Linked DNA regions of Drosophila melanogaster. The protein of the gene in region 3 interacts with the protein of the main gene of each other region in a pairwise test. Each region holds a gene or a part of one and is shown on either strand. Other genes may lie near its edges. The genes, in order: CG8507, CG4218 and CG12728.

The links.
Region 1: the proteins of CG12728 (region 3) and CG8507 interact in a two-hybrid assay, tested with the Drosophila melanogaster proteins (one large-scale study listed by BioGRID).
Region 2: the proteins of CG12728 (region 3) and CG4218 interact in a two-hybrid assay, tested with the Drosophila melanogaster proteins (one large-scale study listed by BioGRID).

Annotation. Positions count from the first base shown.
Region 1 is NT_033777.3:9,789,596-9,793,664, reverse strand, and holds CG8507 (uncharacterized protein), read right to left. Parts: upstream 2,183-4,069; 5' UTR 2,096-2,182; coding exon 1,874-2,095; intron 1,820-1,873; coding exon 1,604-1,819; intron 1,542-1,603; coding exon 1,331-1,541; intron 1,270-1,330; coding exon 908-1,269; intron 853-907; coding exon 724-852; 3' UTR 567-723; downstream 1-566. Other genes in the region: CG8516 (uncharacterized protein), read right to left, coding at 71-213; CG12945 (uncharacterized protein), read left to right, coding at 2,575-2,826, 2,894-3,139, 3,205-3,345, 3,400-3,527, 3,581-3,711, 3,784-4,069.
Region 2 is NT_033779.5:14,546,951-14,550,745, forward strand, and holds CG4218 (uncharacterized protein), read right to left. Parts: upstream 2,160-3,795; 5' UTR 2,004-2,159; coding exon 1,701-2,003; intron 1,636-1,700; coding exon of another isoform or gene 1,615-1,635; exon of another isoform or gene 1,465-1,614; intron 1,305-1,464; coding exon 917-1,304; intron 863-916; coding exon of another isoform or gene 846-862; coding exon 691-845; 3' UTR 548-690; downstream 1-547.
Region 3 is NC_004354.4:5,941,035-5,945,821, reverse strand, and holds CG12728 (uncharacterized protein), read right to left. Parts: upstream 3,217-4,787; 5' UTR 3,140-3,216; coding exon 2,981-3,139; intron 2,920-2,980; coding exon 2,734-2,919; intron 2,668-2,733; coding exon 2,529-2,667; intron 2,446-2,528; coding exon 2,211-2,445; intron 2,150-2,210; coding exon 1,435-2,149; 3' UTR 572-1,434; downstream 1-571. Other genes in the region: CG32756 (uncharacterized protein), read right to left, coding at 1-61; CG3726 (uncharacterized protein), read right to left, coding at 4,418-4,473, 4,551-4,657, 4,726-4,787.

The DNA.
Region 1 (4,069 bases), on a different chromosome or scaffold from region 3:
GCCCTGTTCCCGCTAGAGCCATCGAAACGATGTGGATCCTCTGATCCTCTGGGTATTGGGGAGGACTTACTTAGGGATCCGCTTCTTGCAGCAGAGACAAGCGCCCAGCATAACGATGAAAGTGAGCGTCAGGCTGACGGTCGCCAGGAGGTACGTGTACGAATTTGGGGCCTCCAGGTGCAGTTCCGACGTCGACGCCTCCACCATGCCCATGTCGGTGTGTGTACATATGCACTATGTACCCATAAAGCGCTGGCACCGACCGCTGCACATATATATATTAACTTTTTAAACTTTTCGCTTAGCTAATATTTTCTTGTTTTTTGGCCCACCAAACGAAACGACAACAACAATAATGCGACTGGCATGCGGTCATACTAGGTGCGGTCCTACTGGGTGGAGGGAAATACGCGTTTTGTGCCTGCTATCATATGGTCACACTAATTTTATCGTTTTTTTTAACGGTTTATTCTTAACCCTATATTGTACTTTGAATATATTACAAATTTATTTTTTCCACATTGAATTTTTTAAAGGTCAAAATAGATTGTATATAGTTCAAAATTAAACTTGAGATTTTATTTATGTTCAAATGATATTTGGTATCAAAATTATATCTATGCTGAATAGCAGCAAGAATGAATATTTTTGTGCGTTACACAAACAGTTGCAATTAAATCTAATTTATTCGCTTGGCACTTTCAGTGTTTCACTTTCAAATTATTAAAGCTCGGTGTGCTTGAAGATGGTTTTTTCAATGTTCTCCTGGAGCTTCTCCACTTTGCGAGTTTGCTTCTTCAGCTGATCCTCCATTTCCTCAAAGCGGCTGCTTTTGTCCTTCACTTTTTCGCCCTATAAATAATTGTTAGTTGGCTTACAAACTTGATTGATATTAAGAAACATATACCTTGTATTTCTCCTTTTGCAAAGCATGCTCGGCATGCAAGTGACGCAGCTTTAATAGGCGACTTTCGAAGTGATGCAATTCGGTTTTAATGGACTCCAGTTCTTTAACCGTAAAATTGCTAGCCTGGGCCACTCGCCATAGACCCTGGACCTTGGGTTCAATGAAGTCCTGACTGTGTGGACCGGAGGACACCAGGCGTTCCAGCCTATCGTAGTGATCCTTGATGCCCGTGTGATGTCCTCGCAGAGTGTTAAGGTCGTTCTCGAAACTCTTCACGTTTTGCGCATGGGTTTTGATGTCGTTCTCATTGACATCATTCGAAATCAGATTGTAGGTGTCCAAGTCTTCCGTGTTAATAGCATCTAACGAGAATAATCAATGAAATTAATTGATGCTTTTCGTGCTGTTTTTAGCCAAACTCACTTTCATGCTTGTCGGTGTCTACGGTGCCAATGTTTTCCAGCAAGCTGTAGTACACATCCACTTTATCCTGGTGATGGTCAAACTCCTGTTTCAAGGATTTCAATTCCTCTGCAGTAAATCCGGAAATCTCGGCCTTCTCCCAAAGTCGGTTGAGTTTCTTGTCCTTGAAAAGACTCTTGTTTCTGTGTCGCTCCTCGGCGTCGTGGAATTTCTTAAAGTTAACTTGGATGTAGAGAAACTCTTGCTCTTAGGAAAGATGATTTAGATACGTACCTTGTAGGGCTTAAGCTTCTCCGTATCCTGAGTGTCGTCAAAATGCTCTAGCAGATCGTAGCTGCTCATGATGCCAATGAGCTTGCGGCGCAGTTCGTCGGCCTTCAGCCCGTCTTTGTCCTTGTGCTGCGAGTTGAGCTGCTTCCAAGCGATCTCCTCCTTATCGTGGATCTTGAGTTCCATGTACAGTGACTTGAGCTTGGGCTCTGTTAAGCGCTGTAACCGAGGTTAGTACGGTTAAATATGAGATATCTTATGGTGTCCACTTACATTCTGCGCCTTGGCCCACACGAGATTCAACTTGGCCATGCGAAATGGCCGCTGGATGCTCTTAAAATCCGGATCATACTTCTCCTGCTTTACTTGCTGAAAATGCGGGTCGTTGGCCTCCTTGCTGTACTTCTTGCTCTGCTTTTTGTCGGCATCCACGCCCTGCAGTGCAATAAGTACGGAAAGTGCGATGGCTGCAACAACGAGAGCTGACCTAACCATTTTCCTCGTGGTTTTTATTTCGGTTTTAAAGCTTGCAATTATTGGTGCAGTGCTGACCTGGCTAAACAGTTATTCACAACACGCAGTGTGGCCATCTAGCGATCGCATAAAGCTTTGGTGCTGACAGTCTAGCTTTTATTTTATTTTAATGCTTTGTTTTTCGCAGTTACGATTTTTGATCTTGGTCAATTTACAACAATTTGTTTGATTTATTTGATAAAGATGTTTAATAAAAATAATTCAATTTGCAGTAGAAGTGAAGAAAAATCATAAAAGCATGTTTGTCTAATAAATATAAAGCTACATTTTCCTGAAGTGATAAGTAGATATTGCAGCACTGACGTGACGCTGTGATGTTGCTAACTGGACTTGGTCACACTGCCAATTTGCATCAGCCGCCTTACCACGAAATTGCGCTGAATTATAATTATTATCGAGTGCTTACTACCTAGGAGTGATTACATTGAGAAACCAGGACAATGAGAACGGAGGCAGCGGTCAGTTGTTTCCTGTTGGTATTGCACAGGGTATGCTGTCAGAGCGGCAACGATGAGTCCTGGCTGAGTCCGGATCCCGCCTGGTCGGACCTGGTTAACGATATCAATCAGCCCGGTGAATTGTGCCAGTGTCCTACGTGTCCAGATGTGTCTCCAGTGGCCATGGAGGATGCCGTGGCACTCACATACTTCAAGAAGTTCGTCAATCTGCTGTTCCAGCGCAAGCGTTTTCAGGTATGATCGCTGTTTAGACCAAAGTTGGCGACATGACGTCATATGTGTGTAACTTTTGTGTAATTAGTACGATGTTATGTCGGCGGTCCATAAGCGATCGCTGCTCTTCTCCCTGATCCCATCGCAACTGGATGAACTGGAGAGGGTGCAGGATGCTCGGGATTTGGACGTTTTGCTGACTAAGATATTGGAGAGTGCCGAGGAGGCTCCTTTGTTTAATGGAAGATCCGGATGCTCATACGTCCGACACGGCTTTTTCTCCTTATTGGTGGATATTTTCAAGGATGTAATTGAACTGACGCAAACGACCGAGGTACCTGTTGCGCCTTTTTATGGAAACTTGACTATTTGCTATTTAATGGGTTTTCTCATTCCTAGGTGAAATTTATCCTATATGCAACATTAGCAATTGCACTTGTCGTCATTGTGCACAAACGTTTCCGTGTCGGACTAATTTCAATTGTACTAGGAGGCGTGTTTCTGTGCGGATATATTCAGACTTATTTAGAATGCAACAGAGTAGGTCTAGCCTGAAAGTGTGTGAAATTGTGCTCATTATATGTTTATAATTAGGAATTAGACATCGATAGGATGATAGAGGTCGTAAATCATCACCATGAGCCTGAATCGTCCTGGTTTGGTCGACTGTTAGGCTACATATACCAAGCCTCACCAAAAACTAAGAAGATAGAAATGATCAAGTAAGACCATAACATATAATTAAATAAGTCGATTGATGATCGTTTCCATTCAGAAAATCCGCAAAAATCAGCATTTCCATTTGCATGCCAGATCAAGTGTTCTTTATGTACATGAATAACATATTTATCAAGCAGTTGGAAATCATGATAGAAAAGGTGTCGGTAACTATGACTAAACTGTCCTGTAAGTATTTAACCAAGAATTCGCACAGTCAATAATTACCACTTACCACTTAATTACCATATTTACCCATAGCCGGATTATCCTTCCCGTATAACCTCCTTGCACCAGTCCTTTTGGTGTTTTTAGTGGGTTACACCATAAAGCTGTGCTTTAAATACATTTTAAGCCCCCGAGCATGGGCGTCACTTTTACACAAGCCAGCGCCACAAGGGACACCAACGATTCACCAGTCCATTAATGCACGGGCGCCCGAAGGCGACTCCATATCGGGCGACAACTTAAAGATGCTGCTAAATGTAATTAACGTGAGAAATGTTCCAAAGGAGTCGCTACAGCGAATTCCAGACGTTTCGGGCGT
Region 2 (3,795 bases), on a different chromosome or scaffold from region 3:
TACACCCTCCTCAACCAATGTATCACTCCTTCAGTACACTGCAAAAATATAAAGCATGTGAAATTAATGTTTTAAATTATAATGCTAACCACTCTAGCTTTATATATTAATTTTACGAATTTCTTATTGATACCTAATAACCATAAGTATAACATCTAAAGTTACTTTACCAAAGTTAGCAATACAATGTGTAGAGTGACTGTAGTGACAGCTTATGTTCTGTTCTAATATGCAGTTTAAGTTATTTTTTTGAACAGTGCATCATCCGCTCTGTGTCACGACAGGGCAAGATTTATTTTCGGTATTCCATGGGCGACTAAAATGCGCTGTCAGCGCAGCAGTTGCTGCCATACGTCGCCGTCGCCCGGCTATGGTCATGCCTTGGGCTTGGGCCATATAGATACATTAGCTGATGGTGGTCCGGATCCGGACCAAGGGGACCCACAGAGCGATCGTTCCCCCTCATTGCACTTGACACTCGAAATTGATGCGCCACTGCGCCCAAGCCGGGCCACATTAATTAGGCAAAATATTGACACGCTGACGTGTGGTGTTGCCTATTGATTAACGCGTCTTTTCAATGGGATCGGTTTTATTGGATTATTTTTAGTGGGATTTTGGGGGGATTGGTTTGGCTTAGTTTGGATCTTCACTTGTGGTTTTTTGTGTGTGGTTGGCTATTGAAAAGGCCTAGTAGATGGGCTTCCTCTTCGGTGGCAGGTGGCTGGGAATCCTCATGTTGTTGGCGTTGTGAGCTGGAATTTTCTTTGTCTTCCTGCTGCCGCCGTGGAAAGGACGAAGAACGCGTATGATCAACTGCATAAATGCTCCCCAGCGCGCATGACCTAGGGTTTAGATGAGGCTTTGGATTAACCTACATGGGACTGCTCTTTTCGTGGTCTTTTGATGCCCTTACCATAGTCCTGGAAATTGCATTTCCCCTTTGCCATCTTGGTGCTGAAAACCTCTGCCTTCTTATCCACTATCTCCGAACTAGTAACCATATTCGAGAGCAGCGATTTAGATTTCTTAACCCGCGGTGTTTCAGCTACCTCAGGACTATGTTCTGGTACCACATTGCATACCTCAACGATACCAGAGTTGGTCTTCAATGGAGGACGATCCTCCGATTTCATGCCATTTGCGCTGGCGAACCGAGCACAACTCTCCGTGGACTTCTTGAGCAGAAACCAGGATTGCTGGAGAACATGACCTTCTTCGATGAGTTTCTCGTAGCCATTGAGAATGCGGCGCACATCCACGTTGATCAGTTCCTCGGGAACCTCGGGAAGATCGCCAAACTCCTGAAATCAATACAAAAAGTAAATACATAAAATAGTTGCAAAGAATATTTCAAAATTTTGTTGAGCTGCACTTTTTAGTTGCAATTGTATCAATCGACTGTCATATGAACACAACCTTTAAAGCCCTTAATCGCTTTCAGCATTCCAATAAAACATTTTTGGGTTATATACAATTTATTTAAATATTAAGTATTTCACGCTGAAAGACAATCCAGGTCTGAATCCAAAAATGTTCGTCAGTATAAATCCAATATATCCTCATATAAAAGGTTTGCAATTTTTCAAATGACAAAAGTAACACTTAAATGAACTACTTGTCAATTAAATTTTGCTATGAACGTAGTAGTTTAGGGTAATAAGATTAAGCAATAATTATTGATGGTAATGCAAACCCACCTGCGAGTTCTTCCGCAGATCTTCAAAGCGCTGAATTAGCTTCTTGATATTAAGACTGCTCTTGGAACCCTTGGTGATCCCGGCACCCACACCCGCTGTAGTATTGGTTGTCACATTTTCATCGATCGAATCGGTTGGTAATGTCTCGGATTCCGACCCATCCATACTGGAGGAGCTCATCCTGCTGAGTATCTTGGCCGTTTGCTCCATGAAGGACGCCTGGCGATCGCGTAGCTCCTGCAGTCGCATCTTCAGCTCGTCGAGGTATGCCAGCTGGCGGGGTGTGGGCTGCCTGGTTGCCATTGTCAATTTTGCTATCCCACTTTTAGATTCTTTCGAACATGTGAATGGATCCGAAAATGCTTAAGTTTTCGGTTTTTTTTTTTGGGCTATGGATACTTGTGTTGGGCTTGTCAGACCAATTGTCTCTAAATAAGAGTTTCAGTGCTTAATACTATGACTGCAAAGAGACTGACTACTCGGTTACCGGTTTTATGACAACGCCACCATAGTTTGTAACTAAGTATGCTGTGCATTGGAACCCAAGGAAGTAAGCTATAACCATTCGAATTATTTCTTAAGAGCAAAGACCCTTTTAGCGATGTAACTATTCTATCATATACGTAATTTGATGTAAAGTGGATTAGGGTATTTTTAGAGTATCGCTTGGTCGTATTTCATAAGTTTGGCTCGCTCTTTGGACATGGCCTATTACTCGCTATTTTTATGGGCCCCAAATTGAGATATCTCCTGCAATTCTGGCTGAGCTAACTAAGTTGTAACTGCCCGCTGCCTCACGAAACCGATCCCTCCCCCAACTTTCATTCGCCTGTGGTTGAACAATGGAGCGATGTGGCAAGGACAGTGGGTGCGGAGGGGCAACTCCTGATACACCTATATATCTCTGGTTTAGCGTCTTGGCTGGACTCACCTTTGCGATGCTGCGGGTGGTTGGGGCTAGTTTGGAATTTCACGGAGGAAAACGTGCCGCTGCCATCGGCTGACGCCTACAATGAAGAAAAGGGGGCGTGTCGGCCACTCTGTGACTCCCAGACTGCTGTTGATTTCCCCCGGAGGTGGATACCAACCCCTCCAGCATCCTCCTCCCATGCCAGAGAGTGTGCAATTGTTGTTTTCATATTTTAATGCCTTTTTGAGTTGGTAGGCGTGCCACGACACGATTCTTCTTACCGATAAGCTGTTATTTTTATGGGCCCCCGCCGAATCGGATCGACTTGAAGTGGAGTCGGTGGTGCAGGGTATTGCCGGGTGGAGCCGGGTGGTGCTCCGTGGTGTGCGGTGTGGGCTGGCTGCCGACTTAAAGAAGTTAAAATTATTACACCGCAATTGTCTTGATCGTTGATTTATGTGCGCTTTTGTTGTCGGCTCTCCTGGCTCGCGGCTATGGTTTTTCGCTTTTTATTACTTTTTTGAAGTTGCCAGTTGGCCAACAGGCAAATTTGTGTGGCTGTTGATATTTATTGGGCATGGTCCGGGCATTGGCATCAATTGTGTATGCAACATGGGAAGTTGATTATGCCTCTCATTAGCCACCGTATTTTTTCCTTGTGCACGAAATGGCGACAATTCCATTCCCATGGACATGAAAGTGGCCCATTTGCAGTTTACTAGCACATCGGGTTTGGATAGTAGGTAATTTATTTTGCTAGCATGTCTTTTCGATTACTAATAGTTATTAAAATTACTAAAATAGTTAAGTTAAAATAATAGATTTATTAAAGATCATATTGATCTTGACATTTTTCTTATTTGCGTGGAAGCTAAAAACAGAATTTTCAATGGGATAGCCTTCCATTTCATTTCGAATTAGTCAATGGCTCTTTTCGGCAACTTTAGGCATTCCCTAATTGAGTTCTTGATTCGGCGACTCCACTTCCTCCTCAGCGTTTTTCGGTGAATGTCTGGCCGGTGTCATAATCTCATCGCCTCCTCCGGACCAAGCCCAACCCAATGCGATCCGATCCGAGTCCCATTGTGCGACTCCAGCACGATTAAAGCCAACCGCATTTGCAGCCGCCTTCAATTGCCTGAAAACTTAATGATTTCATCTTTCATTGAATTCAAATTTGTTTCC
Region 3 (4,787 bases):
GCCCCTCAGTGCAGGCGAACAGGTGCTGCAAGCCATTTATATTCACTACTTTCAATAGCATTTTGAAGTTACGTTTAGAAGGATCAGAAATCAAAGGAAAGAAACATCACTGACGCACGCCGTAGAGATGAAAAAGAATCGATAGTACCGTCTAGGTATCGAATTCTTACCAATCTATCGATTGTTCTTTGGCGGTAACGATGGTGATGTATAAAGATTCCCAACAAAAATGGGATGTAACTCTATACCTATTTGAACTAACCATTAGAAGTATAAATCAAATATACTTTATAACAGCATTATATTATATATTATAATGTTATTATATTATTATAATATGAAACAAGTAGTACCTAAACCTTTATGTGTTCACGCCACATCAACAGAGTCTGAGCGTAGGCTGGACGTATAATAGGTAACCGCAGGGCTTTCCTTAAAACGATCAATGCTGAAATACTTTTTCTGCAGGGAAATGCATGGATAGAATGCCTGTGCGTATTTCAATTAACTAATCCACGCGGTTGTATTTATAGACATGTATTTATATTATATTATATATTATAAGATCCTAAATGTGTAGATCAGTTATAGTTGTGACCCACCGATGGGAACAACACATTATTGTGGGAATTCAGGGTTCAGGAAAGCATTACTCAGGATCCAAAACTAGCCTCGTCTAGCTGTCTTTCATCCTTCTGTTGTAATCCTAGATCAGCCTGAAAAGGCTGAAAGCTTCTAAAGCAAATGGGATAAGGCAAACTTTAAAGATTATTTATTCAAACTGCAAACGTTTCTTTTTTTATCAATTTTATTAGTAATCGTGCCAAAAAATATTTAACATAAAATGCATTGATCAGGAGGTTATAACCGCTGGAAAGCCCTGACTAATCGGTCGATAATTGACCAGAAAATTTCCGGGCAATCATTTTGACAAATTTTAATATTATTCGATATGTTCCATAGAGATAGGAGTTAGTTGCTGCTTCTATGCAATGGAACTCAACTTGTTTGTGTACTGAGGGTGTTTTGGTAAGACGTTTTAAAATCTACAACACTATACATTGTTTTGTTTCATTTGATTGCTGTTCGATGGACTTAGGTACGAATACCTAATCAACAAATGGAATCATGTCTTTATCCTTTTATCACTGAGGATTTGTGTTTGTCAACTTGTTTGTGTACGTGTACTGAGGGTGTTTGATAAGACGTCTTTTTAATATCTACAACACTATACAGTTCTTTGTTTCATTTGATTGCTGTTCGATGGACTTAGGTACGAATACCTAATCAACAAATGGAATCATGTATTTTATCCTTTTATCACTAAGGACTTGTTTTTATCTAAAAAAAAAAAAAAAAAACAAAAAAAAAAAACGTATGTACTAAGTGTGAAGTTTTGCTTGTAGCACCATTTAGAATGAGATCGTTTCCAAATTATTTTTGCGCTAACTTATTGATATAGCTCTGGATCGCTTTTTCGATGCGTTCAGTTGAGTAAATCAGTACGGCTTTGATATCTTCCAGCACAGTTCGAAGAATTAAATCCCAATTCTGATCGGACTTTCCGACTTTGGGTTCTTGGATGAGTTCCCTTGGGGCATCGTAAAACTCTTTTAAAGATTCAACCTTCTTTATGACGAAATTGAAAGCGTTCGATGCCTCCCTAGTGACCTCTTCATATTCAGAAGAAGCATCCTCATCTTTAGAAGAAGTATCCTCATCTTTAGACGGAGCATCCTCATCTTTAGAAGAAGTATTCTCATCTTTGGAAGAAGCATCCTCATCTTTAGAAGAAGCATCCTCATATTTAGAAGAAGTATCCCCATTTTTAGAAGAAGCATCCTCATCTTCAGAAGAAGCATACTGTTCCTGAGATGCAAGTTCATATACACCACTTCCGACGGTTGGATTAAATTTGGTTAGTTTGGCCGACCATCCTTGGGAAAGCCCCGAAGATGTGGATGACTCTTCGTCATCATCAGTGAGATCATTCTTGGTGTCCATTGGCGCTAGCTCTACTTTTAAGATTAAATTTACGTTTGTCTCTTGGGAACTCTGCGAGCTTTTGTACTCGACAAGCGGATTGGAGCGGCGCTGCATTACCTTGCGCTCCATATGATTGGTATTGATTTCAAGAGCCTTGCGCTTCCTGCAATTGCGAAAACATATCTTATTAATCGGTAAATGTGAACACATTGTACCAATCCCACCTAATGCGAGGAGCTTCTTTTGGGCTTGATGCCTTCGAAGAAGCAAAGTAGCCGTTTGACGAAGAATAGGGCGCGACATCCCGTGCCCATGGCGAAGAAAGCGATGTCCAATTAGGCGATGGCTTATCAGCAAAAAAAGTACTCTGCGCCTTCTGGTAGGCAGCGGAACAGTCCAGCAATTGCTTGTGCTTATTCATAAAAGCCTCGAGATCAAAGGGCTTGGTTTCCACAGTCACTAAAGAAGGCATAAGGTTTTGCGATTACTAAGCGAATGGAATGGACAAAAACTTTCGATTTGCAAACTTGCTCTTAACTAACCTTTGCGCAGCTGGCATCCCTCGGTGCGATACTGGTTCAGCTCCTTGTCCTTGGCATGGATAATCCCTAGCAGAAGGGGTATCTGAACCCGTAGTCCCAAAGCCGTGGACATTGTGTTCAAGAACATTTGGCTATACAACTTTGGGAATAATGGCACCAATTATTATAGTTCTTGGAACTGATTCTGCTAAAGTCAGTTACTGACCTGTGCGGCATCCATGGGTCTCAGGTGCCATTCCCACTTGAGGAAAACTTTGAAATTCGCCATGGCATACTTCAGTTTCAGGACGTTCAATGGGTGCTGGTAATCCTGTTCGACATGCAATGGATCCTTGTTGAGCAGGACCTGGCGCACCAATTCCTCGGGAAACTTCACACGCGCGTTGAGCGTCTGGTCGAAAAAACGTGTTGCACTCACACTATTTCACCACATGAAAATGCGGAAAACTTACTTTCAAACGCTGCTGGTAATCGCGTTTCATCAAAGTCTCGGAGTAAGTCCACTTCTCGCGAGGACGGAAAACGTGAATAGTTAGGGTTTCATCATGCTGCCCCTCAGTGCAGGCGAACAGGTGCTGCAAGCCATTTATATTCACTACTTTCAATAGCATTTTGAAGTTACGTTTAGAAGGATCAGAAATCAAAGGAAAGAAACATCACTGACGCACGCCGTAGAGATGAAAAAGAATCGATAGTACCGTCTAGGTATCGAATTCTTACCAATCTATCGATTGTTCTTTGGCGGTAACGATGGTGATGTATAAAGATAACAAAACTGGGATGTAACTCTATACCTATTTGAACTAACCATTCATAAATCAAAGATACTTTATAACAGCATTATATTATATATTATAATATTATTATTTTATTATAATATGAAACAAGTAGTACCTAAACCTTTATGTGTTCACGCCACATCAACAGAGTCTGAGCGTAGGCTGGACGTATAATAGGTAACCGCAGGGCTTTCCTTAAAACGATCAATTCTGACATACTTTTTTTGCAAGGAAATGCATGGATAGAATAATATTTTTGTGATTTCCTGGTCAATATCTCTTAGTTTTCCTGTTATTCTTGATCCCCTAATTAGTTTTTTAATATTTTTAATATTTTTCGTGGCTTGTTAGAAGGAAATGAAAGAAATAATTTTGATATCTTGTATATTGAGTTATAGCATTAAATATATAAATTGTTAATAATGCCGTTCAGGAAAAACGATAGTATCGAATTTTTGCTCTAAACCCATCGAAAACATCCCACCTCTAGCTCGCAGCAGTTCGTCGGTATCGGGCTTCAATCGGACTGTAAATAGGTATAGGTGACCAACTATATTGGCGCCACAATTTGAATCCAAAGAGCCGTAGAAAGGAAGTACTTGATATCGTTTTGAACATATTTTAATAGATATTACTTTATTTGTTTTAAACATATATTTTTTGTATGTAATACATATTGTTTGTGTTCCTTTTCGTTAGCTTATCAAAAAATTCACTTCACTTCCGTGTTATTTTATCGATTAACTAGATTCCATAGTTTATGGTGTTGAATTTCACTACCAAGAGAAATGTATTTACCACTAAAACCACACGTGTCCGTGCGTATTTCAATTAACTAATCCACGTGGTTGTATTTATAGACATGTATTTATATTATATTATATATTATGTAATAATAAGATCCTAAATGTGTAGATCAGTTATAGTTGTGACCCACCGATGGGAACAACACATTAATGTGGGAATTCAGGATTCAGGAAAGCATTACTCAGGATCCAAAACTAGCCTCGTCTAGCTGTCTTTCATCCTTCTGTTGTAATCCTAGATCAGCCTGTGGCGACGTTTGAGGCTTTTCTGCAGTTTCGTTATGGTTGTGGCATTGGTTGGTCCTCAAATCTGCGGACGTGTCCATAGCTCGCTCAGATCCTTCTTCAGCTTGCCCAGCTCTGCAAGTAGGGATTGGTTTGGACTTAATTCCCCAGTAAGTTGGTTATTTGTCAGCACATTTGTAGATCTTTCTTACCCAGCTGAGCTGGAAGGACGCCCCCGTTGCGGAATCCCAAGTCGAAGCGAGGCTGAACTCCCATCTGACTGGTCGAGGTGGATCCAGAGTTCCGGAAGGCGGTGCCACTATATCGTAATAAAGACGGTGATTTAAAATCTACATACATTCAGTAACTGGAAGCACTTCAACGCACCTGTAAGGATGCTTAAGGCAGCCATAGACCTCGCGGTAACGCCCATACAGAGTGCCATAGGA